4 linked regions of the Macaca mulatta genome follow. The protein of the gene in region 1 purifies or fractionates together with the protein of each later gene. This does not show direct contact. Links are inferred from orthologs where the notes say so. Each region holds a gene or a part of one and is shown on either strand. Other genes may lie near its edges. The genes, in order: SDC2, CAMKV, PDPK1 and AMPD2.

Evidence for each region.
Region 2: the proteins of SDC2 (region 1) and CAMKV purify together in Homo sapiens (affinity purification with mass spectrometry; 3 studies listed by BioGRID and IntAct, counting the BioPlex papers as one, with this or other methods). This does not show direct contact. The link is inferred for Macaca mulatta from reciprocal best matches to the Homo sapiens genes SDC2 and CAMKV.
Region 3: the proteins of SDC2 (region 1) and PDPK1 purify together in Homo sapiens (affinity purification with mass spectrometry; 4 studies listed by BioGRID and IntAct, counting the BioPlex papers as one, with this or other methods). This does not show direct contact. The link is inferred for Macaca mulatta from reciprocal best matches to the Homo sapiens genes SDC2 and PDPK1.
Region 4: the proteins of SDC2 (region 1) and AMPD2 purify together in Homo sapiens (co-immunoprecipitation; 3 studies listed by BioGRID and IntAct, counting the BioPlex papers as one, with this or other methods). This does not show direct contact. The link is inferred for Macaca mulatta from reciprocal best matches to the Homo sapiens genes SDC2 and AMPD2.

The regions. Positions count from the first base shown.
Region 1 is NC_133413.1:107,003,501-107,010,330, reverse strand, and holds part of SDC2 (syndecan-2 precursor), read right to left. Parts: intron 3,311-6,830; coding exon 3,175-3,310; intron 2,254-3,174; coding exon 2,090-2,253; 3' UTR 1-2,089. UniProt on the Homo sapiens protein: Cell surface proteoglycan which regulates dendritic arbor morphogenesis.
Region 2 is NC_133407.1:113,342,270-113,349,656, forward strand, and holds the start of CAMKV (caM kinase-like vesicle-associated protein), read right to left. Parts: upstream 4,580-7,387; 5' UTR 4,398-4,579; intron 4,092-4,397; exon of another isoform or gene 4,018-4,091; intron 1-4,017. UniProt on the Homo sapiens protein: Does not appear to have detectable kinase activity.
Region 3 is NC_133425.1:3,776,166-3,783,575, reverse strand, and holds the start of PDPK1 (3-phosphoinositide-dependent protein kinase 1), read right to left. Parts: upstream 4,440-7,410; 5' UTR 4,348-4,439; coding exon 4,324-4,347; exon of another isoform or gene 4,293-4,323; intron 3,370-4,292; exon of another isoform or gene 2,765-3,369; intron 857-2,764; exon of another isoform or gene 322-856; intron 1-321. UniProt on the Homo sapiens protein: Serine/threonine kinase which acts as a master kinase, phosphorylating and activating a subgroup of the AGC family of protein kinases.
Region 4 is NC_133406.1:130,580,368-130,587,843, forward strand, and holds the start of AMPD2 (AMP deaminase 2), read right to left. Parts: upstream 4,884-7,476; 5' UTR 4,447-4,883; coding exon of another isoform or gene 4,437-4,446; intron 3,955-4,436; 5' UTR 3,701-3,954; coding exon 3,448-3,700; intron 731-3,447; exon of another isoform or gene 635-730; intron 1-634. UniProt on the Homo sapiens protein: AMP deaminase plays a critical role in energy metabolism. Catalyzes the deamination of AMP to IMP and plays an important role in the purine nucleotide cycle.

The sequences.
Region 1 (6,830 bases):
CCAAGCAGTTGTTATTCTATGAATTGAATTGCACTCTGCTTTGCACAGTTAGAGGTATAACCGTTCCTACCCTCTGTAATTGAGGGACACTGCGTGGCTTTAGAAAGCACTGTTTCCTTTTAGTCACTCTGAAGTGAATTGACTCTGTACGTGATGGGGCAGGAATTTGAGAATTAATTAAGGCCATTAAGGATTTAAGTAAACACTGTTCCAAGTGTTGCTTAAAAAATGTTTCTAATGAATTCTGTGGCAATTCCAGGGAATGCTCTCAAAATGAAGTATTCATACTTTATTAAAAGTAAATTGTATGTTGGAAAAGTTGCTTTTTTTGCTGTCTTCCTACTTGGATGGCTCACAGTTTAAAACAAAATTAATGGTAAAATAGAAAAAGGAAATGTTTAGTACAGAAAGTACCAGCCAGGGTACCCTCATACCTCCATCTCCTTCCCCAGGCATCACTCTTTCCAGCCACTCAATCCTAAAGCAGTGAGGCCCTCATTTTAACACACAGAGCCTCCTTGCCTACCCTCCTTCCCTGTAACGTGAGCTATTGTAGTCCATTTATTAGTTCTTCGGTTAAGCTTCAGTAGACACTTGGAGCACAGTTGCAAAGGTAAATCAATCTATAGGCCTAAGCCTTAGATACCAACATCAGGAAAGCCCCCTTCAGATCTTTGGAATTTAGAGTCTTAGAAGTTATTTGCAAAAGCAGGCATCTGTCTTAATATTGCCATCAGCTATTCAATAAAGGTTGCAAACTTCGAAATTCCCTGGCAGCCTTCCAATATCTCTACCTAGACACACACAGGATAATACATTCAGATTTCCTCTGGCCAATTCAGTAATAAACAGTCTCATCGACAGGCTCTTTGGTCTTGATTTACAGACACTGTGGAACACTTAGAAATCAAACCCACGTCATCCTTGAGAGCAGACGGCCGTTAGCAAAGGGGAGATGTACATTTGATCAAAAATGTACAAAATTTATAACAGTGACATTTTCAATATTAGGCCACATGATTTATTCAGTAGTTTTTATGTTCCCAAATTACAATTTATGTCTATTCATAAGACTACAAAAGTTACCATTAGAATTGTCTGTGCTTATAAAATACCAACTTTTTTTTAAACTGTTATATATACTCATTAACACCAGTCTGCAACAAGTTACATAGAATCAGAGGCACTTCAAAGGCTTAAAAAGACGTTTACAACTTAAATGCATTTTTAAGAACAAAAACTTATTTTTCTTTAAACCTCTACTCGTACCTTCAAATTGCAAGAAATTAACAAATACAGTGGCCAAAGGAATCTGCAGCAACTTCTTAAAATACTGTTAGCATCTTTGGGTTTGCTGAGGCTTGTCAGTAACTTACATCAAATCCTCCCAAAAGAAGATCTGATTAGATAGATATGACTAAACAGTTTTGTAGTAATAATCCAATTTTACACATTAATTTGCTGTTGCAAATCTGCCCAAAGCTACAGGTAATGAAAAATAAAGCAAGTGTAAAATGGATAGTCTGACACTTAAAAATTTATACAAAGTGGAAGTTAAAGTTTACATATTTGAAAATCACATATACACTAAATTACCATTATCTGAATTTTCCAAAGACAAATTGCACCATGACAGCTACAAAAGGCATAGGGTTTGGTTTTAAGGGCACAAGAAGGGAGGGCAGAGGAGAGGAGGGCGACAACAGATAAATTAACAAAGTAAGACCAACTTGGTAAGGTTAATCTGAGACATGCTGACACAAATGAAACAGCTTTCATCATTGAGTCATAGGAAAAAGACAATCATTTTGTATTTGCGCATAAAAGTTTAAACCAATTCCATGAACATCGAGGGTTTTCATAACATAATATTTTGCCACTGCTATTCACAGAACACTGCAGATGTTAAATTTTATGTTGTTCTAAAGAAATACATGAAATGTTTTAAATACAATGGGATTTTATCATTAAAGTGCCAGAATGGCTCTTTAATGAAAAAAACAAAAAACAAAGATCTTCATTATTCTATGCAAAAGCTTTATTTTGAAAAGTTCAGTGATCTCATAAATAGAGACACTAAGTTGGAGTTTTAAGCATAAAACTCCTTAGTAGGTGCCTTCTGGTAAGCAGCACTGGATGGTTTGCGTTCTCCAAGGTCATAGCTTCCTTCATCCTTCTTTCTCATGCGATACACCAACAGCAGGATAAGAAAAATTGCAAAGAGAAAGCCAATAACTCCACCAGCAATGACAGCTGAAACAATCAAAAGGAAAATGACTTTAGAAGAGATTCAAGGGTTGCAGACGTTAGCTTTATTGTCAAGCCCAATCTGCTTACATTTTTCTAAAAGGCTTAATTTGAAAACCCCAATAAAAAAAAAAACAAAAAAAACTAGATTCAATGAAGCAACCTGGTAACTATGCAAATCTCAAACTCCTCAGGAAGGTACAGTAATTTCTTTGGTTAGTGTTAACAATACCACCCAAAAACCTCAATAAGAAAAAGCTGGCCTTGATCTTCACTCATTCCATACTTGAAAACTACTTTTGTCTTTTCAGAACTCACATTTCATATTCTAATTTTCTAATTGCTTTTTTCAACACAAAACAGTGTAATTGACTTAAAATTTTAAAGAGTATATATGAAAAAAGCATGCAAATTTATTTCTATTCTTGGACTTGAGACTATCAAGTGTTCCTAAATCTTGAAAATTTTCCCCTTTAAAATATGTGCACTTCCATCCAATTAAGTTAAAATAGAAATAACGTTCTTAACACCTTGGGCAGTACATATGTGAACTGCCTTCCCCCTAAAGAACTTTTCCTTCTCTTTATTTTGAAATGTGGAACGCCTTCGAGCAAGACTGATGGATCTTCACACTCTGCCATCTCTCTACATCCAGTTGTTCTGGATCAATTCAGATGTTAACTTTCCCTCTTTTAGGCTACCTCCCATCCCCTGCACGATGGCTGGTGAAGGGGTAGGTTGAGGGAGCTGGTGGACAATAAAGACAATGTTTGCTGAGCCTCTTGCTTCTCGCTGTAGAAGCAAGCATCCGCAAGACTGCTTTCAGCAGAAAGGTGACAGCAAGCTTTGCTGCACTTCTGAATATCACTTAGACTAACAGAAGCCTATACAGGCACCCTCCCACCTGACACCCACCAGGATACTCACCTGCTAGGACTTCTGTCCGTTTAAACAGACTGTCTGAGTGTTTCTCAGTATACACATTTGTATCTTCTTCAGATGGGTCCATTTTCCTTTCTGAGTCAGAGAGGTGAACTTTCTCTTTATCAGTTTCTTCAGGTGACTGGTATGGGAAACAGGGAAAGATTACACTGATTTAAGAAAATGTGCTGGAAGGAAGAAATAATGAGTATACTCCAAAATTCCTTTTTTTTCCCCAAAGAATGAGTTTAGGAAATAGTTGGAATAAACACTTGTGTGATGTTTATAGCAATGGGTGAGTGTCATGATGGACCCATGTAGTTCATGGTTTTGCGTAACACCCATCACATGATCAGGCAAGTCAGAGAGCTAGTGAGTTCATAATAATGCTAAGGACATGGTGAGGTTGTTTTAGTGGACATTTCCTAAGATCTCTACTTTCTCACCACTCTTCTAACTTCGGGTCACCATCTCCCTCCGACTGCTCTAACCCAACAGCACTGCCCCAGTTCTCCTTACTCCTTCACTTCTCAACTACACAGGGCACGATGACAACAGCTCCCTTTCAGATATTCTCTCATGCCTGACTGGGCTTTTCCTGTCCCCACTCTGCAGGGAGCAACCCCCAAGCCTTACTCCTAATGCTTCCCCCTAGTCATATCACCTTCAGCAAACCCTGGACCAGGACTTCCGGGGACTTGGGTTGTGCAAGTAGCTCCTCCCTGATCATATCATACTTCTTTTCTCCACCTGGATTTCCTCACCTGTCTAATGAACAACACTCACAGGGTCTCAGACACTGCACAATGCTCAAGTAGAAATCTACCTCTCACAGCCGCCATCTCTAGTCAGCATTATTCCCAAGAAGTCAGCAGCCTGCAGGACATTAACTGTTGGCTGTACCACCTTTAACTCTACTCGTCAAGTCTAAGTAGTAATTAATTCACTGCTGAATCGGATCAGCCTTCTTTTCTATTCCCATTAATGGCGCTGTATTTTGGGGTGTTCCCAAGTTATCTATTTCGACGCATTTCTTATCATATGTTATCCATGTCACAGCACTGTCAATTTGCCTCCATCTTGCTCTCACATTAACTTCTTCCCTTGGGGTCTCATTTCCACAGCTTTGTTAAGGTGGCCAGCACATCACACCCCAGCTCCCATCCTGCTTCGACCTCAGAACTGTACGTGTTGGGTAGCTTCCAGTCCTCACCCAATCCACCACTTACTCCCAGCAGAAAACCCTGTGAGGCCATTTCCACCACCTCTTCATCATCAAAAATGATTCTTAACATCTGTGCTGTAGTTCAGTGGTCCCCAATCTTTCTATGAAAAAAATACAGGCCTCCTACCAGAGGTTCCATTTCAATTGGTCTGACTTCAGGTCACCATCTCCCTCTGACTGCTCCAATCCAACAGCACTGTCCCAATTCTCCTTACTCCTTCACTTCTGAGCTGTACAGGGCACTATGTAGCTGGCACTGATTTTTATTGCTATTTAAGTTCTCCAGACAATTCTATAGTTTGAGAACCAGTGGGTTAGAGAAGTCCCATTCAAAGGAGTTGTTCATTCTCTAACAGTCTGAAGTTCTTGTTGGCCAACATCACTGATGAAAACACTGTCAACTTCATTGAGGTTTAAGACTAAATGTGGCTGGGTAGGGAGCCTGAGGTGAGAGGATCATTCAAGACCAACCTGGGCAACATGCTTAGACCTCATCTCTACAAAAACATTTTTTAAATTAGCCAGGCATGGTGCTGTGTACCTGTGGAGGATCTCTTGATCCCAGGAGTTGGAGGCTGGGGTGAGCTATAATTGTGCCACTGCATTCTAGCCTGAGTGACAGAGTGAGACCCTGTCTCAAAAAAAAAGACTGCAGACAATAATCCTCAGCTCTACTACTCTTCATAAGTTCCTGAGAGCTTCCTACCATCTTCATTAGGATCCACAGAGTCTAACATACCATGGCTCAGCAAAGCAACTGATTGCTTTCTGAAGGCTAGAGTTCATCCAAAATGGCGGCCTGCTAGTTAAGTCTAGAGGCTTAAAGAGTGTAAGAAGAAAAGACCTCACCTTCTTGGGCTGTGCAAGTAGCTCCTGTGGGACCCTGACGACATCACACTTCTTTTCTGCACCTTAAGGCCACCCTCATTGCTAGGAAGGACCATAAGCTAGACCAGGTGGATTCATTTGTACTCTAGGGTATGTAAGATCAGTAGGTCCCTGTCTCAGTGAGCAGAAAGCTAGGCTTCCACTGAAGGTGGTATGTAATAAAGTACAATAAAGAGTAATTGTCGTTCTCAAGTTGCAAGAAACTCTGTACTATCTAAACCTCAACCTCCTATGCTTTACAAAAAGCAGAGGCCATAGAAAAATGTTCATTGCACTGGTGCACAATATGCACTGAAAAGGTCACGGTCCTCTCTATTACTATGAGAGAAGAAAATTATGATAGGCCTTCCCAGGCCTTCGGGTACCAAAGTAAAGCAGAAGAGAGCAGCACATTGGCAGTATTTTTCCTGATTTTTTTCTATTCTTCTCATGAAAAGCCCATCATTAATTGGCTGCCTGGTGGAAGGACGGACAACAGATCAGAGAATGGATTATCTGGGTTCTAGTCTAGAAACCTTTTCACTGCTCATTAGTACTGCTTTACTATCACAGGTTAGAAAAGGGAAGAGAAATATCAAATAGGTGAATACTCAGGTTTGTGACTAAGGAGAGAGGTAAACAAGTTCTGGTGAGAAATGAAATGGACATAAGCAGTCACTGTAATATGAGAGACTGAGTTTAATTTATCCATATCCACATCATCTTTGTTCCATTGTTATTACAAATCATATGGTTTCACCATGGGATTTTTGGGTCCCTAAAGTCATTTAAGAGAGTTGATCTTTTCAGTTTCCTCTGACTCAGCTTCTGATCCGGCAGGCTGAACAAAGCGTGCAATCCAGGGATCTGAGAGTATGGGGACTGAAGGACTCCACATAACTGGAGCCGCCCTGCAGCTGGAAGTGCACAAGCCTCAAGCAGCTCTGGGTGGAAAATTCATTTTTCAAGTCGAAATGTTTTATCGTATAGAGGCAGAGGCTTGACTAAGAAGAAACCATTTTGTAATATGGAACTAATCTGAAATACCTTAACTCTTGTATGAATATATGTGCAAAATCAATCTGCAAAAAGGCAGCAGGGATGATTAAATGAGGCCAAGTAAAGATCTGCCACATCCATGTCTGGTTGTTTGGATGCCATGGAAATGGAACAGAAGTAAAAGCTTATGAGTGATGCTCTGCTCAAACAAATAATGAGATGGCTTTTTTTGCATTTTAGTCACTTAAATTTATAACAAACTAGAGAGGATATCTGTAACAGTGACATTAATGCCACTGTGAGACCGATTCAAAAGCAAAATCTACACTAATGGTATCCTAGAGGCAATGTTCAATTCGGCTGTACCACATAAAGACCAAAATGAAAAATTTAATCATCATTATTCATGTTATTCATGATCAATATTATCATTATCAGTGCTGTGAACAGTGTTCGACACATAATGATAGCACTCAATAAATCTTCCATAAATGGATGAATTTTTATTATTACTACATAGAACACAAATGATAGTAAGAATATAAAAGTATTAAAATAGTTTGGGCTCCTT
Region 2 (7,387 bases), on another chromosome or scaffold:
CTCCCAAGAGGGCTGGGAGGGACCTGTGCCCCAGCTCTGTTGCTTTGCTTACACCATTCCCTCTGGCAAGAGTGCCCTTCCCCCAAAAGCCTCCCGTCAGATTCCTATTTGTCACGGCAGAGTTATTTATAACATTAAAAAAAATTCAGCAACTACCTAAATGTCCAACAACAGGTGACTCGCCAGCTCAACTGTGTCCACTCAATGGTAGGAAGTGTGGGCACTGGCAAGAGCTCTGCCCACCTTGGCTTTCCTGTGGAGCAGCTGCTACATGAGCAAGGTGCTGAGAGCAGAACTGAATCTCTTCTTTCATTGTTATTGCTGACATTGTAAGGTAGTTTGTGCAACACATTGTCCAAAACAATCCTGATGCTCCAAGGCCAGACTCAAATGGTCCTTTTCTGAGATACCTTCCACAACCTCCATGCCCCACCCCCCACCCCACTCCAACAGCTCCCGGCTCTACCAGTGTGGTGTGGGCGGGAGGTTTTGTGCATGCCTGTCCCTGATCCTGGCCCCAGCTTTCAGCTCTGCATATGCACTCATGCCCACTGGGGCCCAGGGCTGGTCATGGGGGTCTATCTCTACCACAGAAAGCTGGGCCTCCACCCCATAATGTCAGCCTGGAGCCATGTCCTGCAGCCTCAAGGCTGAGATGGGAACAGATCTGTCTCCCCTGCCCCCTACTATGGCTGCCTAAATTTCAGCCAGTCACTCCTCCTCCTCCTCCTCACCAGTCTAACTATACTGGCTTGGGGCCCCGGACTTGGCCCCAGGGCAAGGAGAGGAGAAAGAGGGGCCTGGCTTTCAATTAGCACCCTGGTTCCCTCTGCCCACCCCCACTCCACCATCTGCTATCCACTGTTGCTCCCTGGGAGGCTTCCGGTGTGTGCACCAAGCCCTGGGCACCTGCTTGCAACAAAGGAGAACTGGGAGGAACAGTCTAGGGACAGCTCTCAGAAAGGGAGGAGGCCAGGTGGAAGGGGTGTGCATTTCTCACCCCCATGGCCCAGACCCAACACCCAACAATGGAGAGCTCTCCTCTCAGCAACACAGGACCTGAGCTTTTCCTCAGGTACACTTAGGCCATGGAAGGGCACGGGAGCCCCACAACAGTCATTTCCCTAGAGACATGGCTCCCTCCACTCTCTGCAGAGGAACTGAACAGTATGCACTGCGGGCTGCCCAAAGGGAGCTTGTGGGGAGTGCAGGCCCTGGTGCTGCCACTGCCCTCCAGCTGGCTCTCAGGGAGCCTGACAGCCAAGCACTCCCCAGTTACAGCCTGCTCCCAGGGCCCGACCACTGGGCTCAGGGAGTTGAGCCTCCAGCAATCCTGAGGGGTCCTCTGTTGCTGCCCTGGTGACAAATGGTCCCCCAAGGACTCTACTGCATCTTTAGGTAAGTCTGACCCAGGGAAAGCCCAAACAAAACAAAGGCCAAGAGGTCCAGAGGCCCCACATTGGGGTCCTGTCCCCTCCTCCACTGAGATCATCCTGGTTCAGGCCCTACCTGTCATAGACATAAACAGACTTTCCTGCTACCTTGGTCCCCTGCCATGTGGGACTCCAGAGTTTGCAGTAAATCTAGGGAGGCCAGGAGAGGCCCAAGAGGCCTCCAGCTGCCTCCCAACAACTGTAGGCAGCACCTCCCAATTTAGTGGTAGCTGTGAACACCAGCCTGCAGGCACCCCCTACTCTCTGCTGCTCTACTCTCTCAAGGACTGGGGCTGGATTTCCTGCTGCAATGAACATGCTGAAGCCCAAGCCCTGCCTAACTCACAGCTGAGGTGTCACCCACAGGAACAGGGGAGCTGAAGACCTCACTCAAGGTCTATTAGGAACAAGGGCCAAGCTTCTAGACCACCATCCAATTGCTTCAGGGGACTGGTCAAGGGGCTGCCCTGACTGAGCCTCAGGCTCCAGCTAAATCATGGTAGAAGTTCCTACAGCTGAATTTTGCCCATCTAATGAAGGAGTATTGTGGGGAGGTCTCTCCAATCTTGGGGGTGGGCATGCAGTCCAGTGCTACGTCCTGAAAGTTTGGCTCTCAACATGCAGGCAGAGGCAAAGGTCAGCTGTCTCCTCCCAAGCACTTGGGGTCCAAATCTCTGAACCCCTGAAGGAGAATCCACTGGAGGCTCTGCTTCCCTGTGGGTGGAGGAGGGGAAATGCAGAGGAAGGCACTAGAGTAAAGGGTTGCTATGGTGATGGAAGTTTTAAAACAAGGGGAGGGGGAGGGGAGATGTGTTGGTTAGGTCCCTTCTTCAAGAATTCCCTGAGACTTTAGCCTGGCTCCTTCTTCAAGGTTCTGTGACCCAGGTCCCCATCAATAAAGAGGAGGTGGGGAGATTGAGAGAATTTAGAAAAAAGAGAATGGGGCAGAGACACAGACAAAGACAGAACCTGTGATGGAAGAGGAGCAAGGAGATGACAAAGTAAAAGGGACACAGGCACAAAGGGCAGGAAAGGGGAGGTGGACAGGAGTTCTGAAGGGGACGGATGGGTGCCCAGCAGAGCCCTAAGGCCTCCATGGCTATGTGCTCTAAATCGCTGGGCCAGGAGCTATCCATGGTACCTGGACCTTCCAGCTTGCACCCTCCTGTATCCCCCAAACATACACTGAACTTGGCATAGGAGGCACAGCCAAAAGGAGGCCAGCTCCTTGGAGCATCTTGGTGAGGAAGAGGCCAGCTGCTACAGCCCCCCAGTCAGGACAGTTCCCAGCCCATCTCTCTGCCATCACGGCAGCTTAGGTAAAGCAGGTCCAACATGTTGAAGGCAGACGCATAGGGGGATGGAAATGAGGCTTGGATGCCTAGTTGCTTCCCTTTATAGTCCCTCTTCTCAGTTGGCCCAGCTGTACCTAGACCCTCCCAGCCAACCCCTCCCCCATCTGCTATCCTCTCCAGGCTTTGGGTCCCCAGAGCCCCTCTTACAGCTCTGCTTAATCCCCTCTCACCACCCCCAACAGCAGATCCTGCCATGAATGCCAGAAATGGCATCACAAGCAACCCAGAAACAGAATAACTGCACAGCCCTTCCCCTCCCCATGCCTCAGTTTCCCCAAATAGAAACCATGGAATCTGGCCTTCTCCCAGGGCAGAGGACTGCTTGCTTGCCACTGCTTGCTTGCTTGCCTGTGAATGGTGGCCAGGGCATGGGGCTGGAGAGTAAGGCCATCAGAGATATGTGAACAGCCAGCCTAGGAGGGACACCTGAAGGGTCCGCACCAAATACTGTATTAGAAAAGGGAGACCCTTGCCCCACCCTGGAAACCAACCTGACCTTGAGGGGAGTGGAGACACCAATTTCCCAGTTGAGGAAACTGAGGCTCAGAAGTCGCTGGAGCTGCCAGGAATCAACTCTGAGGGTGGGGGAGGGCACCAGGTCTCTGAAGGTAGTCCTGGGGGCTCAAAGCCTGGACTTGGGGGTAAGGGGAGTACAGCACAGGAACTGGACTACTGCAGACTCTGAGCTTTTAGTGTGGGACAGAGGGCCCTGATCCTTAGGAAGGAACCTGGTGGAGCAGGCTCTGCCTGGGAGGTGAGGACAAAAGCAATTTGGCAGAGCTACACGGGGAGGGGGCTGGGGCTCAAGAGCCCAGGGTCTCTGCCAGACAGTACAAGCTGGGGAAGGCAGAAGCTCACGCTGTCACTATCCCAGCCACCTCCTGCCAGGGGCCCTGCTCCCCACCGTGGTGCCACCCTGACCCCCTTCCCAAGTGCTGCTGGCTCGCCCCCGCTGGCACAGCAACACACATGCGGAAAGCACACGTGTGAGCACCAAGCCCCGCACCTCCCAGCAGGAACATGTGCGCCCCCACCCCCACCGTGCACGTGGGTCCATGCACTGGACCCCCGGCTAGCCCCCAGGTGAAGGCTTAGAAGCGGAATTTTGGCTGGGGGGCTGCTGGTCCCCAGGGGCTTGGAGCTTCCTCCCCCACTCCGCGGCAGCCCCGCCCAGCCCCCTCCGGGTTGTCGCCCATAAAGAACTCTCCGTTGTCATGGAAATTAGTGACTGCTAAGCTGGAGGGAAGGGGCCCGGGGACAGTTGGGAGGGGCTGGAGGCGGCTCTGGGAACGGGGAGGGACGGCTCAGCTCTCGGCCCCTATCCTCACGGGGGACCACGAATCTTCGAGGGTTAATCTTTTCATAATTCCGAGCCGCAGAGGCTTCCCCCCAGGATCCCCAAGCCGTCCGAGGTAATGGGGAACTTTAGCCCGACCCCGCACTCCGTCCCCCAAATCTGCAAAGCCCGCGCGCTCTGACCCCGCCAGGACCTCGAGCCCTCACTGCGCCCCCGCGCACTCTGCATCCCGAACCTCGAGCCAGGGAACCAATCCCCCAAGGCCCCACAACGTGAGTTCGGGAAGCGCCCCCAGCCCGGCCAGCCCCGCACCTGCAGCGCCGGTTGGTCACACGGAGGAAGTGATCGCGGGCTCAGCGGGGCGCCGAGGGCTCCGGGGACGGCGGGTAGAATCCGCTCCGAGCACGCGGGGCAGACGCGGCGCCAGATGCAGCCGCTTCGGCTAGCGAACCTCTAGCATCGCCAGCCGCTTGCCGGCACCGGATTCGCACCCCGGGCCGGGGGCGGGCTGGGGGCGGGGCCTCCCAACCGGCCCCGCCCCGACCCTGGCGGAGCCTTAAGGGCAGAATCCCACTGGAGAGCAGGCTCGCGCGGGATGGCAGCGGTGCTGGTGAGCACTGGCCTGCTTAGCCCTGGCTAAGGTTCTCAACGGCTTCCTTAGGCCCTCAGCCTGGGGTCGGAGGGGGCCTCCTATGCCCAATGTAAGGGGTGGGGAGTGGAGAGTTGGGGGAAAGCCTGAGTCCTTGAGCTGCATAGGATCGCTTGCCAGCCATTAGTCTCTAGGGAACCGGGGCTTTGCCCAGCTCCCCGAACCCGACCCAAAAGGCAGGACCAACTTAGAAAAACCAGATGGGCAGTCGGGCTAGGGCAGGCTCCCCTACAGACTGGCATCCCCTAGCTAGGAGCAGTTAATACACAGAGGTGTCTGTTTGCAGGTAGTCAGTGTGAAAACAGTGAGTGCCCTAGACTCTGGAAGCAAAGTCTCCTATCCCACCCCACCCCCAACTCCTGCAAGGCCAGTCTTTCCCAACCATAAGCCCCAGCAAGGGTGACTGGCACAGTCAGCCCCCTCCTGTATGGCACCAAATTTCCCAAACTATAAAAGTCACCTGTGACATGGTGTGGCCTCTGCTTTCTTTTCAGTCTAATCACTCTCAAACACTTCATGACTAGCATCACTCTAGGTGGCCTGGCCTGGGATATAGGGACACAGGAGAACTGTGGCACCAAGGTATCTCACCCGGCCTGGGCGCTAATCAGAGGGAGGAGGCTCAGAACCACCAGGAGGAAGCTTTGAAGGAAGTCCTTGGCCATTTCTCTGTCCCTTGTCAGTGAGGCTCATGGACCCAAAGCCTGACCCACACCCCTCACAAGCCCTGAGGACCATCCTAAGGCCAGTATCTGAAAGCCAGACTCAGGCCTCTCAGTGTCTGGAGCTGGGCTTTATCCCACCCCACTCCTCCCAGCAAGCCTCCTGACCCTGCTGTGGGAGAGGGAGTTGGGGTCATCCCCAAACCCTCAGCCATCTTGAGGCTCCCCTGCATGGCCACCCATGGCCGATGACAGGAGGGACTGTCCAAGTCCAGAAGCTGGGGCTGGGGCTCAGACTGGAAGGCTAGCTTAGGAAATGACCGCCTCAAACAAGGTTCCTCAAAATTTTCCTCCAGAGTGGGTACTGAGCCCTTCACATTCCTCCCTGGCTTGGGGTTACCTCCTCTGGGCCAGGCTGGTGCCACTTCTGGGGTCCCTGGGTTCTGAGTGGTCTCGGGTTATGGGATCCACCCCACCACTGGGTAGGAATCTCCTGGCAGGCTGGGTATCTGCAAGGCAGAACCCGTTTCTCATATCAGTATGCTCGGCTGATGTCTGCAGAGTGAATGAATGGCCTGGCACTGAGTCCTTCCTGCCATCTGCCCACTATTCTTGAAACAATGGGTCTCTGAGTTTTATGGTGTAGCCAAGCTGTGGCTTGCTGACCCCACACATGCCACACACTTGTTTTCTGTCTTTCCTGAGGGTCATGGCTATCCAGGCATGGGGTCAAGGAGAAGCTGGAATGGGGATGTTTAGGCAGGGGAAGGGGTGGCTTCTTAGCGCCCTGCCTGCTGCTGGCAGTACTCCACCTCTTCTTGGTCCTAAGCACGCTCTGTGCATGTGGGTGAGAGCACGTGGCAGGGTGTGTGTGCACACGTGTACGTGTGTGTATGCTGTCTTTTGCCGAGGGAGATGCAACAGCATAGTGTATGCAATGGTGCCCAGGGGCACGTGTGTCTGCATTCTTTGTGCACCCAGGCATGCTTGCTGGCACGTGTGTGTGGACTCTGTAGCTGGTCCCTGGAGTTGTCAGTCCCCTTCCTGCCTGACACAAGTCTCAGGATTGTGGAGACTGAATCAGGCTTTGAGAGCCGGACATGGGAAGGGGGCTGGACCATGTCCAGGGGCGGGCAGGGTCTGTGCTGACCCTACATCATTGGTTGTTTTCAGGCTCCCCACCAGAGCAGCCCCTTGATCTCTGGTGTATGTGAAGATAGACAAGTCTTTGCCATTTGTGGAGGGCAATCTGAAGACAAGAACCCAAGGCTAGGATTGAGCCATGGCTTATCCCTCAGCCCGCAGACAGGAAGGCACAGGCAGGGTAGGACCGGCTTCAATGTTTTGGCTTCACCTCCAGCTGCCTTTCAGGCAGGAGATAGTAACACCAGCTGAATGCCATCCTCTTAGCTCTTCCAGGGCAGGGACTGGACCAATGCTGAGCTTTGTTCTTACTTCTACTATTCAAAGCCAGATGGGGTCAGGGGACATGATTTCTTACCACTCCACTGGCCAGAGGGATGGCAGGAAGTCCTTTAGCACAGAGCACAGTTTGGAAGAAGAGCAGAGGCAATTGAGATTGGCATTGCCTAGTAGCCTTTATGAGGATACTCCTAAGGAGGCCTGTTCCCTGAAGACAGGGGCTGCCTGGGTTGGGAGGCTGAGGAGGAGAAGAGGGCCCAAGTTCATAGTTCTGGCTCCCACCAAAGCTAGAAAGTCCGAGTGGCATAATAAGGTGTGAGCCTCAGTATCCACAGAACTTCATCCCCCAGCTCAGGTTGGGCGCCCTACCCAGGATTCAGGACTTATCTGCGCCCCCAACTCCTTGCCCTAGGGTACCAAAGGCCAGCACTCCCATGCCCTTAGATTCTGGCTGGCTGATAGAAGCCCCTGCTAACCCAGCATAGAGCTCCAGCAAAGGTTCAGACTGTAGGAGGTACCTAGATTACCAGTGCAGCTCTCCCAAGAAGCCTGAACTCTGACAGAACCCT
Region 3 (7,410 bases), on another chromosome or scaffold:
GCCCCCCACAGAACTGCTGTACCATGTGGCATCCTGTCCAAGTCCATTTCCACAGAAGATGCCTCTTCAGAGGGGGAAAGTGCCACGCCAGTGCCCACTCTCTTCCAAACACATTCTCTCAGAAGGGACTGGCCATGCTCGCCCCCTCATTTCTGCAGCGCTTCCCAGTTCATCATCTGCTTGCTGGACTCCATCTCCCACCCGTGTCAATCACTTGCTCTGAAGCATCTAAACCCTGGGTCAGGCGGCTCAGGGGATGAATGTATAGATTGAAAAGGGACCACTGCTGGGCACGGTGGCTCATGCCTGTAATCCCTGCACTTTGGGAGGCCGAGGTGGGTGGATCACGAGGTCAGGAGATCAAGACCATTCTGGCTAACACGGTGAAACCCCATCTCTACTAAAAATACAAAAAATTCGCCAGGCGTGGTGGGCGCCTGTAGTCCCAGCTACTTGGGAGGCTGAGGCAGGAGAATGGCGTGAACCCAAGAGGCGGAGCTTGCAGTGAGCCGAGGACGTGCCACTGCACTCCAGCACACTAGGCTGGGCACAGTGGCTCACACTGGTAATCCTAGCACTTAGGGAGGCCAAGGTGGGCGGATCACGAGGTCAGGAGATCGAGACCATCCTGGCTAACAAGGGGAACCCCCATCTCTACCGAATACACAAAAAATTAGCCGGGTGAGGTGGCGGGCACCTGTAGTCTCAGCTACTTGGGAGGCCGAGGCAGGAGAATGGTGTGAATCCAGGAGGCAGAACTTGCAGTGAGCGGAGATCGCACCACTGCGCTCCAGCCTGAGCAATAGAGCGAGAGACTCCACCTCAAAAAAAAAAAAAAGAAAAAAGAAAAAAAAAGGGAACGCTCCCTGTTCCTCCCCAAAACTGTGCTGAATGCAGTCTAGAGGGCCAAGGCCTGCTGAGAAGACCTGCCCAAGGCCTCTTTTCAGGCCCCACATCTCTGCAGGCTGCTGCTGGATCTTTCTCATAAAACACATCTCAGAAGAGCCAAACAAACCACTTCCCTCTTACTACTGGGACCTCACCTTGCCAACTCTGGACTCAGCTTGGACTGGCTGTCGGGGCATCGGTGGGAACAGGGATACATCACACTATGCACCAGACCAGCCACATAAGGAGGAACTCCCCAAAAGGAGGGAGAAAATCGAAAGCCACTGCTCTCCATGCTCTCTGCTTCTCCCCTCACCTTCCCCTAAGGATGCAGCCACCTTTGCAAAAGACAGAACCACCCTAGGGAGGGCAGGAGCCCACTCTGCCTAGTCCCCCAATTCTACCTTGAGCAAAATCATTACATGTTTCTTTGTTCCAAAGGGAGGATTCCAAGCCTCACCCATTCAGAGTATCGGCCCTGAAACAAGGCCGAATCACAGCCTCTTTCCAAACAGCTGCTTTCTGACAGCAGGAGGCTGAAACAGGCCCCGGGGTCACAGAGCTCAGCCATCTGCCAAAGAAATATGTACAGTCAATCCACATGAAGACACCCCTCCTGTCTCCAGCAAGGCATGGTCAAGACGTTCAGGCCCAATCCCCGGGAAGACATCCTGGACGGTGGCACTGAAGACTTCCTTACACAGAGTGCTGGGCTGAGCTGCCCGGCAGACCCTCCCTCGGGGGCTCTGAACGTGAGGGGCAGGGTGACACTGGAGTTTCTACCACTTATGAGGCAGGTACTTAACGTCTCTGCAGCTCAGCTTCTGCACCTGTAACATGGGAACAACAGCTACCTTGCAGTGAGGTGTGAAAGTACCTAGGAAAGCGCCTGGCTTAAGTAGTCAGCTCAAGAAATGGTACTCACTGCCTCTGGCCCACTTAGCATCAGACTGGGCCAGGCCACTGTCTGCCTTCACGCTCGCACTGCTCCCTCTGTTGGCTGTCCACGCATACACACGTGGGAAAGTTCACCGGGCAGGGGCTTCTCACACAGGGCCTACAGGGCCACCCTAAAGTCCAGATGCAAACCCACCCCAACCCTGAAGTGAAAATACAATATTAGGGCTGCCTCCACCATTATGGACAGGAAACACAGCATGTTCTCACATATGTACACATGTGGAAATCCAGCTGACAGAGATGCAAAAGCCTCGTTCCTGACACTTCCTCATGTGGAAATCTATCCTGTATTCTATCATTCTTGCTCACTGGATTCTAATGTTTTTGTACAAAAAAGCTGCCTTATGTGAAGAATACTGCAGATACTAAATGTCCACCATGTGGAACTGCCAAGGCCGTGAGAAAATTTGTTCTTTCCTCTTCCCGTGGATGACACCAAATATACACCTTGCATTGCAACAGCGTTACTGGGTGCGAGTTACAAACTTCGCCATGACTGTCACTGGGTGCAGGTTAACCTCACAAACTTCGACATGACTCTCGGCCCCAGCCTCCGCTGAGCCTCAGCAAGCCGCCTAATTCATGTTTGTTTTTTTTTTTTTGAGACGGAGTCTCGCTCTGTCGCCCAGGCTGGAGTGCAGTGGCGCTATCTCGGCTCACTGCAAGCTCCGCCTCCCGGGTTTACGCCATTCTCCTGCCTCAGCCTCCCGAGTAGCTGGGACTACAGGCGCCCGCCACCTCGCCCGGCTAATTTTTTTGTATTTTTAGTAGAGACGGGGTTTCATTGTGTTAGCCAGGATGGTCTCGATCTCCTGACCTCGTGATCCGCCCGTCTCAGCCTCCCAAAGTGCTGGGATTACAGGCTTGAGCCACCGCGCCCGGCCCCTAATTCATGTTTTTATGTTACCCGGGGCACTCTGGGGTACAGCCACACAAGTCGAAATAGCGAAAGGCATCTCTTTCAACCCTTCGACATTTTTCTCAACTGAATATTCTTCCTTAACACTTCGGATTATCACGCATCTCTACAAAGTCCACAAGTGAGCTGCAGAAAGTTCAAGAGCCTCCTGACATAGTTACAAAATTCAGTGTCGCACTGCATTTTTCTCGGAAGAGGGCCCATACCTTTCCTCAGGTTCTCAGACTCACTACACCCCCATACACACATAAAAAAAGATCAAGAACGCCTATCAAAAAGCCACGCCTATCAAAAAGCCACATCTGCCAGGCACGGTGGCTCATGCCTGTAATCCTAGCACTTTGGGAGGACTAGGCGGGCAGATCACCTGAGGTCAGGAGTTCAAGACCAGTCTGGCCAACATGGCGAAACACCATCTCTATTAAAAATACAAAAATTGGTCGGGCATGGTGGCACACGCCTGTAATCCCAGTTACTAGGGAGGCAGCAGCTAGAATCACTTGAAGCCGGGAGTTGGAGGTTGCAGTGAGCCGGGATCGCATCACTGCACTCCATCCTGCGCGTCGGGAGCGAGACTCTATCTAAAAAAAAAAAAAAAAAAAGCCGCATCCGATAAAGGATCAATTACATTTCTTGAGTTTTCCTTCATTTAAAATATTCACCTTTTAAATCAAATTTTAAAGCTATGTAGACGTTCTTCCATCACCCACTGCGCATCGCATACAAGGCATAAATTCTTAAACCATCGTCCCCAGACTGTAGAACTTAGCATATGGAAAACATAAAAACACGAGGAATACTTTTAGCGACAGAAAGAAAATATAGAAACACCAGCGACACTTTTAGCAAAACATTTCACCCAACAAGTGGTTTGTTTCGGTCCTTCCCGTAAAATCCCTCCTACCTGTCAAGCTCACTTTCCCCTCGGTGATCCTGCACATTCGGCCTCCCAGGGGCTTCCCACAACGCTGAGCACAGCCACGGGCAGGAAAAGCACCCAAATGCCCCTTGGCCAGGCCGTGAAAGGAGAGTTTACCCGACCACTGTCATCGAGAATCTGGAGACGGGGGCCCAGGCGCATCAGGTGCTTTAAGCAAGAACTTGCACCTTCTGCTTCTCTCGCAGGCGGAGACGCCAGGGACCCCGTTCCAGGTGGAAGCCCAGGGCGGTTCCTCTACAGACAGAACCGAAAGGTAACCCTGCAGGCTCGACTCCAGGCTGCGCCGAGCCGAAAACAAACTTTCCAGGCACTTCCACCCCGCTGGGCCGGGTGACACCTCCCGGCCTCCCCCGCCCTCCGCGCGTCTGTCAGCGCCCCCGGCCAGGCCGGCGCCCGCCGCAACCCAGGCCCGGACTCCCCGCCGCAGCCGAGCAGCGCCCTCGGCTGGCGCCCGCCATCCCCCGCCCGGCCGCCCGGCTACAGGTGAGGCGGCACCCGGCCCTGGGGATCCCGGGCCGCCCCGCCTCGCCGGACCCAGGCGACCGCCGCACCCGGCGGGGTAACAAGCCGGCGCGCCCAGGCCACCGGCGCGCCCAGGCCGCCGCCGCGCGCTCACCAGCTGGCTGGTGGTCCTGGCCATGGGCCCCGCGTCGGCGCGGGCGCCTCCCCCGCAGCGCTGCGCGTCTCGGCGCCTCCTCAGCGTCCTCCTCCCCGAAGCGGAGCCCCAGCAATGGCCGCCCTCATCCTGCGCCCGCCCCGCCGCCCGCCGCCCGCCGCCCGCCGCCCGCCGCCCCCGGCGCCGCCCCGCCCCCGCGCGACGCCGGGCAGGACTTCCGTCGCGCCGCAGCCGCCGCCCGCGCCCATTGGCCGCGCCCAGCGTCGCTCCGCCGCGGCCTGAGTGGGCCCCGCCTCCGCCCCAGCTGCATTTCCGGGTTGGGGCCTAGCAGGCGGGAGAGGCCCGGCCCCACCTGGGGAGGGGGACCTCGCACCAACCAATCCCAGGGCCTGCGGGGCGGGGCTGGGCGGGGCTGGGCGGGGCAGGGGGCGAGCTGTCATTCCGGGCTCCCAGATCGGGAAACTGAGGCTCAGAGGGGACCGGGCTCCGACCAAGGTCACGCCCGAGGTAGCGGCGGCGCTGTGCTCGAACCCGGAACTCGGATTCCGGAGCTGGCTCTATGTAAACTCGGAGGTGCAACTTTGCTAGTTTCACAACTAACAAGCGTTCACGGAAGGAAATCTGGGCTATAAAGTCACATTCATGGCCGTGCGCGGTGGCTCACTTTGGGAGGCCGAGGCGGGCGGATCACTGAGGTCAGGAGTTCCAGGCCAGCCTGTCCAACATGGAGAAACCCCATCTCTACTAAAAATATAAAATTAGCCGGGCGCTTTGTAGTTGTTAATGTCGATGATAGTTAAAAGTGTTTGGGTTTGATTTTGGTTTTTTTTTTTTTTTTTTGAGATAGGAGTCTTGCTTTGCTGCCCAGGCTGGAGTGCAGTGGCTCCATCTGTGCTCTCTGCAACTTCCGCCTCCCGGGTTCAAGCGATTCTCCTGCCTCAGCCTCCCAAGTAGCTGGGAATACAGGCATGTGCCACCACGCACGGGCAAATGTTTTGTATATTTTTGTAGATCCTGGGTTTCACCATGTTGACCCAGCTGGTCTCGAACTCTAGGGATCTGCCTGTCTCAGCCTCCCAAAATGCTGGGATTACAGGCGTGAGTCACCACGCCCAGTCAACTTTTTTTTTTTTATATTGACACATGGCCATGTAGTTCTTGAGTAATGCACAGAGAAAAAGGAAGCAGTGAAGAATAAACAGCTTGAAGAACTAGCACACGGTGAACTCTAGAACACGGAGCCCAGGGTGGAGGAGCCTCAGCGGCAGGGGCCAGGGGTCAGGAGGACGCTGTTCCATGAAGAAAGCATCTGAGCAGGCACCAGGGGGCAGAGGAGAGGGGCAGCTGAAGGTGAAGAAAGGACAGTTCTCAGTTGTCCTGGGGGCCCCAATGGCAGCCAGAATGCTTGGCCAAGCCCAAGGCAAGGAGACCGGGAAGCACCTCTGCCTTCTGGAGACAGAGACAAATCTCCCCTTGAGTCACGTCCAGCTTCCCATCCCAGGACACCACACAGACAGTGGATGTCTCACCTGGCCCAGCACGATTCTCCGGACCCGGGCTGGAGGAAGGAGACTGACCCCTCTCTTTAGCTCACCCTTTCCTGCCCAGAACCTCTGTCCATGGCCAATGGATGACCTCAGGCCAAGAATGCAGTAAGTTGACCTGATGTTGTGAGGTCACAGTCCATCCAGGGAAGAGCCAGAAGATGACCAGGACCATCCCGGGAGGGGCTGGAAAGCTGCCTCATGTGTGTGGCCCTGTGCTGCATCTATGCATTCCTCACTCACCTCTACAACTCTCATGGCACAAGGGAGGAAATGGGGGTGCAGAGGCTAAGGAACATGCCCAAAGCCCTACAGCTGGTGTATTAGTTATCTACTACTGTGTAATAAATTGCCCCAAAACTTAGATGTGTAAAACAACAAAGACATCTAACTCATGGTTCCTGTGGGTCTGGAATCCAGGAGAGGCTGGGCTGGGTGGTCTGCCTCAGGCTCTCGTGAAGTTGCCATGAAGATGCAGCCAGAGCTGAGTCATCAAAGGCTACAGCAGGGCCGAAAGATGCACTTCCTAAAAGGTTCATTCCCACATTCCCACAGCTATGGGCTGGAAGCCTCAGTCCCTCACCACATGGGCATCTTCAAAGGGGTGTGTTTTTTCAAGCCCCGACAGCTGGCTTTCCCCAGAGCGAGTGTCCCAAGAGAAAGAGAACACACGCAAGATAGAAGCTGCCATGTCTTTAATGACCTAACCTCAGAAGTGACACACCATCACTTCTAACACATCTGCTGGTCACACACAACAACCCTGATAGAAAGAGATCGGGTGTGCTTTGGGAGGCTGAGGCAGGAGCACTGCTTGAGGCCAGGTGTTTGAGACCAGCCTGGGCAACAAAGTGAGACCCTGTCTCTAACAACAACAAAAACTTTAAATAAAATGTTTTACAAAGTGAAACAAGGTTACACAAGGGTATGAAGGTTACACAGGAGGCGTCATTACTGGGGGTCCCCTTCAAGCTAGTTGAGGACAGAGCCAGGATTCCAGTCTCAGGCAGAGTCAGAAAGAAGCAAGAAGCACAGGCCCGGCCTGGATCCTGCAGGTGTGCACACCAGAAGGCTCTGAGTTTCAAAACCAGGGAAGGAAGGGCTCTCCCAGCAAGGATCCCAACCTGGTTGGCATTTCTAGACTGACGCTGCAGCTACTCAGTAGCATCTGGAAAGGGGACTAAAGGGGAAAATGGGGGGCAGGGAGATCAGGTGAGAGAAAAGGGGGCTCTCAAAAGACAACAGCACTGGCCGGGTGCGGTGGCTCACACCCGTAATCCCAGCACTTTGGGAGAGTGAGGCAGGTGGATCACTTGAGGTCAGGAGTTGGAGACCAGCCTGGCAAACATGATGAAACCCCGTCTCTACTAAAACTACAAAAGTTAGCCAGGCATGGTGGTGGATGCCTGTAATTCCAGCTACTCAGGAGGCTGAGACAGAAGAATCTCTCTTTTTTTTTTCTTCTCAGGGGAAAGTATGAACGCAGTCCCCCACTACCACAAATTATGCAGTCAAGTTTCCCACATTTGGGGAAATCACAGGG
Region 4 (7,476 bases), on another chromosome or scaffold:
CTGACCTGGGGACCAGCCCTCAAGGGAAGAGGAGAGGAAGTGGAAGGCCTGGTTGGCAGGGGAACCCTACCTCCTCCCTGGAGGCCTGCCCTCTCCCCCAGGGCCCCACGGCTGCCAAAATGTAGCCTGGCCTGTCCCTCTAAAAGGAGCTGCCACAAACAGTCTATGTCACTCAGGCTCCAGGATCTGGGCTGGGGGCACCACAGAGGGCCCTGGGGAATGGAGTGTCAGAAGCCAGGGGTCTTTCTCCATCAAGACTAGACTTTTCATCTGTGCCACCCGGAGGATGGCACCAGAGGGCCGTAAAGCCGCCGATCTATGGGGGCTGCCAAGGCTTCCAGCCTACCCCGAAGGACCCTCCCTGGGCTCAGCAGCCCCAGCTCCTCAGTGGGAAGCTTTCCACACCCAAACTGCCTCTCTCAGCTGGCTGTAAGGAGTGCTCCCATCCAGCACCCTCCACCCTGGCTTAGGGAAGGATTACAGGATCTGCCTGGGTAGCCGGCCTTAAAGTCTCTGCACCCATTTCCCAATACTCCAGGACTGGTCCCAAAGCTGGACGAAGGGAAGAGGGAGGGGCCTTCCCCAGATCCAAGACCCCGTCCCCTGCACACCCTGGGCCCTGCCTGAACCCTACCTGCACAGTGCAGGCAGCTCCAGCCAGCAGCCCTGTGCCCCTTGCCCGCCTGTTTGCCAGTGAAGCTGCAGCCAGTCCCTCAGGGGCTGGCACAGGCTGTACCAAGTGCAGCTGCAAGCAGGGGAGACCCTGAGATGGCCGTGAGCACAGAGCTAGGGGAGTTCAAGGGAGCCCAGAAACCAAGGAAAGGAGCATCAGAGTTGGGAGATAAGATGAGCTCCAGAACTGAAGAGGGCCTCTACAGTGCCAGGGAGGACCCAGCCAGATGTGAGGCTCCTAAGGGGGAGTAGCAGGGTAGGCTGATTTGGGCAGGGCAGGCCGGCAGGGAGGAGCCAAGCCTCCTTAAAATCCACTGCCCTAGGGGACAGTCAGTGGACAGGGCCTGGCTGGCCAAAGAGTAAGAGGGGAGAAAAAGGAAGGGAACAGCTCTCCTCATCTCCACACCCACAGCCCCAGGTCAGCCTCCCCTGGCAGTGGCCTTGGTACTCACCACTGTCCTCTGGGCCCTGACTATGGGGTCCCTTAGGAGAGACAGGGCCTTTGCTGGGGAAGAAGCTAACTGGCAGCTGAGGAACTGGCCCAGTCTAGGTAGGGGCCAGTCACTGAGGCTTCCCCGCTGCCCAGCTGCTCAGGGGACTGGTTCACAGGCCCCTAGACTTGCAATCCCTGATCCAAGCCTATCATCAGGGACGGGACAAACTGTCCAGAATAAGTTTGGGAGAAAGGGAGCTAGAATTTGGAGGACATGGGTCTGATTCTGTTCCTGCTTCCAGGCATGTCTCTACCTATCATGGAAGGCTTTGGGTCCTCATCTACAAGTGGGGCGGTAAGTGCTCCCTTCCCTGCCTAGCCACAACTGCCATAAGGCTCACAGAGATAATGGCTCTGCAAGTGTTCTGCAAAACACCAGGCTCTGTGTTGAGGCGAGGCCTGCAATTATGAACTCCTGGGACCTTCAAAATACATCCTACTTGTAGCCCTGCCCACTGAGGACAGTGGGAGGTTCTCTGGGCCCAGGGCAGGGTGAAGGCAATAGGCCAGTAAAGGGCAGTGAAGTGAACTTGGCAGGGGTGGAGATGGGGTGACTATCTCTTTCTTGGAAAAGGACAAAGTAGAAAAAGGAAGAAAAGAGGGGACCCTGCCTCACCACCAGAGTGTAAGACCTTTTCTTGCCCAAGAACCCTGATTCTACACACCTCCTCCCTACATATGGCCCCAGACCACTTCTAACTCCATCTAGGGGAGGCCGACCACAGACCTCCATGGCTAGTTCATATTGGGTTAGCAGGAGTTGAGTCAAAGGCCCAAATCTCAACCCCCTCTCCTAGCACAGGGGTCTGGGGCTCCACAGCAGTTCTGGGGTGAGCAGGACAGATTCCAACAGCCAACGCCATCCCCCCAGCCTGCCAGGCCACTCTCCAGGGCTGCCACAGGCTCACTGAAGGTGACACACAGGCAGTAACCTCTACGTTCTCAGAGGCCAGGCCTAGAAGACTCAGCTGCCTACTGGTCCTTTCTCTAGGGGCCAGCACCACACACATACACCCACACTTACAGAGAAGTCAAGCAAAAGCCAGAGTGGGCCGCTCCAGAGCCACTCCCACCAACTCTGAGATTCTGAGCACCCCATCTCCCCTCTCGACCAGGAGCCCCTCACACACTGCCAGGACTGCCTCAGTAGGCACAGGGGTGTCCACGGCTTTGACCCCACAAGTGTCAGATGCTCTTACCATCTGACCACTGAAGGGTATCCAGTTCTGGGCTAGATCCGTATCAGTTGCCCTATTGCTGAACCAAACAGGGCCAGGGAGGGCCCCACCCAGGGGACACCCTTTCTGGATGGCACAGACCTGGGCACAGAGAACACCCTCAGGGCAGTACAGACCTAGCACTAGGCATCTTCAATGAAACAAGAAAATATAGGAGGTTGATAGTAGGGCTATGGCTACAGACAGCTGCAAGGGTGGGGGGCAGTCAGCATGATCTGGTCATCAAAGTCAGGGTGGGTCTTTCCTTAGCCACAAGGCCTGGGAGCAGACAGCAGGCAGACAGCCCTCTGCAAGCACAGAGCCAGGCAGCCAAGCCCTCACTGAGACAGGCGCTGCTGCACCTCGCTGCCTGCTCCAAATGATGCAGAGATGCTTACTAGAGTGAGAGACGAACCAAAGGGTGCAGGAGCACACGCAGTGCGGGCAGCAGCCCCAGTCTGAAGCCTGCACGGACCTGACCAAGGACGCCCCATACTCCTAAGGAGGCTCATGACATAGACAAGGAACGAGCAAATAGCAAACGATAGATACAGTCAAGCCCCCAGTTGTGGGATGCCAGCCAACAATGGTTGTGCCCAGATGTCAGACCCCCAGTGAGGGGGATCTAGATGTGGGGTCCTAAAAAGTGGAACTAGTCACAGAACAGCCTGAGCCTGCCTGGTAAAGGCACAGGCACCAGTCAGAGTGGCCAGTCCACAAAACAGTCCCACACACCCCCACTCCATTCACACATGCTCCACATGCAGTCTTAGCACATGCACACGCTGACACGTGTGCACACACACCTCTTGCTGCACCCACACCATGCCCACTCCTTGTGACAGAGGACAGCATCCCTGGCACAGATATCTCAGATCCACCCCCACCCCCGGCCACCCCTCACCCCACCTTCCAAGCCGGCTGTCCCTGGGACTGAGGTTAAGAGGCACCACCACAGAGAGGATGCCAGAGGAGGTGGCCTCCTCTGAGGGGACCAGCAGCTTGGGCGAGAGGTGGCAAGACAGAGCCCAGCATCTATCCTGAGGCCAGGAAGCACACACTCACCTGGAGCTGCAGTGGAGGCCTGCAGGCTGGCCCGCTTCTTAAAGGGATATTTGGCCTTGGGCTTGCCAGAGCCAGATGGATAGGATGCCATGGCTGGGACCACGGCGGCGACAGCGGGGGAGTCTGAGCGGCACCGGCTGGGGCCTGGCTCTGCCACATCCAACCCCTTCCTCCGCCCCGCCCCCAGCGGGAGTGACTGATGCAGGAAGCAGCGGCTCCGCAGGCGGAAGAGGCCCCGGCCACGATTTCTCATGTTGTCTAGGCAACCTCGGGGAGTGGGGCCTCCATCTCTGCCCCCTATCCCTCCCCTCCCTCCTCAGTCCCAGGAGTGACGTGACTGATGGTGGCTGGGCTTGGCGGGGGGCGGGGGAGGGAGTGGGTAGAAAAGAAGATGGGGAAGGGCCAGCCCCCAGCTCTCCACTAACCCACCAAGAGCCCTCACCCCATTATGCCAGGGCTCCAGGGCAAAGAAGCCAAAGTCCAGGCTAGCTGGTCCTTCCAGCTAGTCTGGAAGAAAAAAGAATAACAAATAGGAATTCAGCAGCGAGTGAGTCCAAGCTCAAACACAGTCCTCCCGGGGCAGGGCTGGCATACTCCGTGAAAACCCAGCACCCACTTTCCTTCCACATCTGACCCTCAGCTCCGGGGGTAGCTCAGCTCTGGGAGGAGGGGGAAGAACCGAGAATCCCAGCCCAGGAGGGAGGGGCCTGTCTTGGGAAAATTCCACCGTCGCCAAATAGCTACCTCCTAGGAAGGCAGGAAGGCCAGGAGACCCCCTTGTCTGGGGGTCTGGGACAGAGACCCTAGCCTCTTCGGATTTTTCCTCTGGCTCTGCACACTCTGGCTCTGCTCCCCAGGCCCTCGTAGGAAGAGCTGACCGCCTTCCCTACGTCCTGCCGCTGTGCTGTGACTCCCACCCTCTTGTCACCCTGGCCACAGCACTTCTCTGTCCCAGAGACCCTCCCTCCAACACACGTACACACACTCACCTGAAGCCATGGTGTCCGAGTTCCGAGGGGAGGCTGCCCACGAGGGTCTGCACAGCAGAAAGCCCGGGTCCTGAGAGAGGGCAGGGTGGTCGGGCCCCAGACTCCGGCCAAGTCACTCCAAGGGCCCCTGCCCTGGCACTGAGATGGGGAAAGTAAGGCAGTCTTTCAAAATTGCCAGCTGGCCGGAGGTGGACTCCCGCAGATCTCGGCAGCCAGACTGGCCTCAAGGCGACCCCGGTGTCGCGACCACCCAACCCCGCAATCGCAATCGAGAGACGGGTAGGCCACGTGCTCCCAAGGGAGCGGGACCCGGAACTCGTCCAGGTTTCTCGCAACACTCCCTGGGCATTCAGGGTCGGACTCCCGCGGCCGGACTGTGGGGGAGTCACGCAACAGGTGCGACCCCACGAAAATCTCGCCGGCTCCGCGCCAGGCTCTGCGGCCCTTGGCCCCGCCCCCGCCTGGCCCCGCCTCCGCCTGCCGACCCCGCCTCGCCATTTTTTTCTCTTCCTGGGCGCCACGTGGGCAGCCGCCACACCGCGGTAGGGCTGGCCTGAGCTGACCCTTGATCTTGGGGCAGTTTCGTGCGTCAGCTTCCTCATCCGTAAGATGGGGTAATGACAGTACCTCACTCAAAGGGGTTACTGTGAAGATTAAACGTAAAGTCCCTTTACCTAGTGCCTGGCACGAAGTCAGGGCCCAATGAAAGGTAGCTGTTGTTATCGTCCCAGGATTCATTTTAAGCAGAAGTCCTGCCCCTGCAATCTCACCTGGTCGTCTGTTTTCTTCCGGCCGGCATAGGTAGGAGGCTGTGCCCTGCAATTCTGGCTCCCCTTCCCACATTTCTGTATTTGGTGGTTAAGAGCTTTAACTCTAGCCAGAATGTCTGCGTTCAAATCCAGATTTCACCTACTTCCTGATACTGGACAAGTTACCTAACTTCTCTGTGCTTCTGTTTCTTCCGTAAAATGAGTGTAAGAGTACCTGCTTTATATGGTGGTTAAGATGAATGAGTTAATGTAAGTTAACTGCTTAGAACTGTGCCTGGCCTGTAGTTAGCACTTTTTTATTATTACCATTGCTTTAGCCTTGGCCTTGGTTCTCTATTGACACTCACAGGTTGATTCACTTACAGCCGTTCTGGGGTCTGCAGACATCCTATCCAACAAGCATCCCCACTGCCAAGGGGTAGAAAATCCGACCTAAAGGGAACTTGTGGAGGGAAGTCCCTAAGACTTCACTGAATATAATTAAATGCATTAGCAGGAATTAATCTCTTCCCTATTTTCCCTCTTGTGGGAGGCCTTTGCCCCCCAAACCCAGTTGTTCTAATGCTGTTTGTCTGGCTCCTCCCAGTTCTCACCACCCCCACAGCAGAGTTCCTTCCCAAACTCTGCCTGCCTCTTCTCTCCCCACGCTGGATTCTGGACTTTGAACCCTGTGCTCCACCTGCATCTGGTGCCACTTCCATTGATCCCTGTCTACTGTTCCCTGAACAAACTTAAAAAAACTTGGCCTCTTCACCTCACACAGAATCCATAGAACTAAAAAGAGAACAGAGATAACCAGGTTTACCTATCAAAATAGCAAAGACTAAAAAACAAAAAAACAAACACTAATGCAGGTGGCAAGGGTATAGTTAGTGAGATGGGAGACACACACACACGTACGTGTGCACACACATTACTGGTGGCCTTGAACACTGATATAATCTCTCTGAAAGCCATCTGGTAATATATAATCAAAAGTTTCAAAAAGGTTCTTATTATTTGACCCAGTAATCAATTTTCTGGAGTTTTTCTTAAAAAAGCTGCCAGAAAAATATGTATGCAAAAAGTTGCTCAGCACCACAATGTGTATTGCATAGGAAAGTTAGACACTTTAAAGGCCCAACAGTAGGGGAATGTTTATGGAAGATTCATACCATGAAATACAGCCATTAAAAATTGTTCTTGGAGAAATGTTTAATGATGTGGAAATGTTTACAATATAAAGTTAGGTAAAAGAATGGATGCAAAACACTATATACAGAATGGTCCTACTTATGTGATATACATGGGTAGAAAAGAAACACACCAACAAGTTTACCAATGATTATCTGTAGTGGTGGAATTATGGGTTATATTTTATTTATTTGCATTTTGAAAATTATAATACATACCCATAACTTTTATAATCAAGGGACTAGAAATCAACAAAAATCGGTAAAAATCCATAATTGACTCCACAGTCCCCCCAACCCAGACTTCCCTGGGTCTTAACCCCAGACTTAAACTATTCTGTTTACATTTGTGGCCCACTGAATTGGTCTTGGGGCCCTTAGGGATTTTGAGGCTGATGGACTCTCAAGAATGAATAAAATGAATCTCAAAAATCAAGCACCATGTAACTACATAGAATGTCATGTATCTTCTGATAAGATGCAAATGTTGACATAGTTTTAAAGATAGTATCTTGCATTGGGCCAGGCCTCTTGAGCCTCCTGCTTAATGCAGACCTACCTACCTCAGCAGCCAATAGGTGGCAATCCTTGCCCTCCACCCAGCCCAGGCAAACCAGTTCATTAGTCCCTTTATGCTAGTCCCCTAGTCCGATCTGCAACACACCCCTCACTCTACAACCCTCCCCTATTTCCAGGTCATCTGGTGTATTGTGGCTGCTAGGAAGTCGGCCCTGATTACAGTTAAGCATCAGTCCCTCCACCCACTCAATACCAGCAAGAATCACAGTGAGGTTTCATTGTCTATGCAGAATAGAGCTTGGGAAATAAAGGCCTGAGTCATCCTATGGCCTGGGCTTTTTTCACACTGAGGCCTTAACATTGCTTTTGAGCCTCTGGGATCTTCCCTAGCTCCAAACACAGCTTCCTCCCCTCCTAGCCTGTTCCCCACATGGCTCCTTAACTGACCCTCCTGGAATCCCAGCTCCCTAACGATGGTGCACTCCTGTTTCTCTGAAGAACTGCTTTTCTTTACTTCTGGACTTCAGCTCACTGTGATGTCAGCCTCCCTAGCTAGGCCAGAACAATCTTCACAGATAC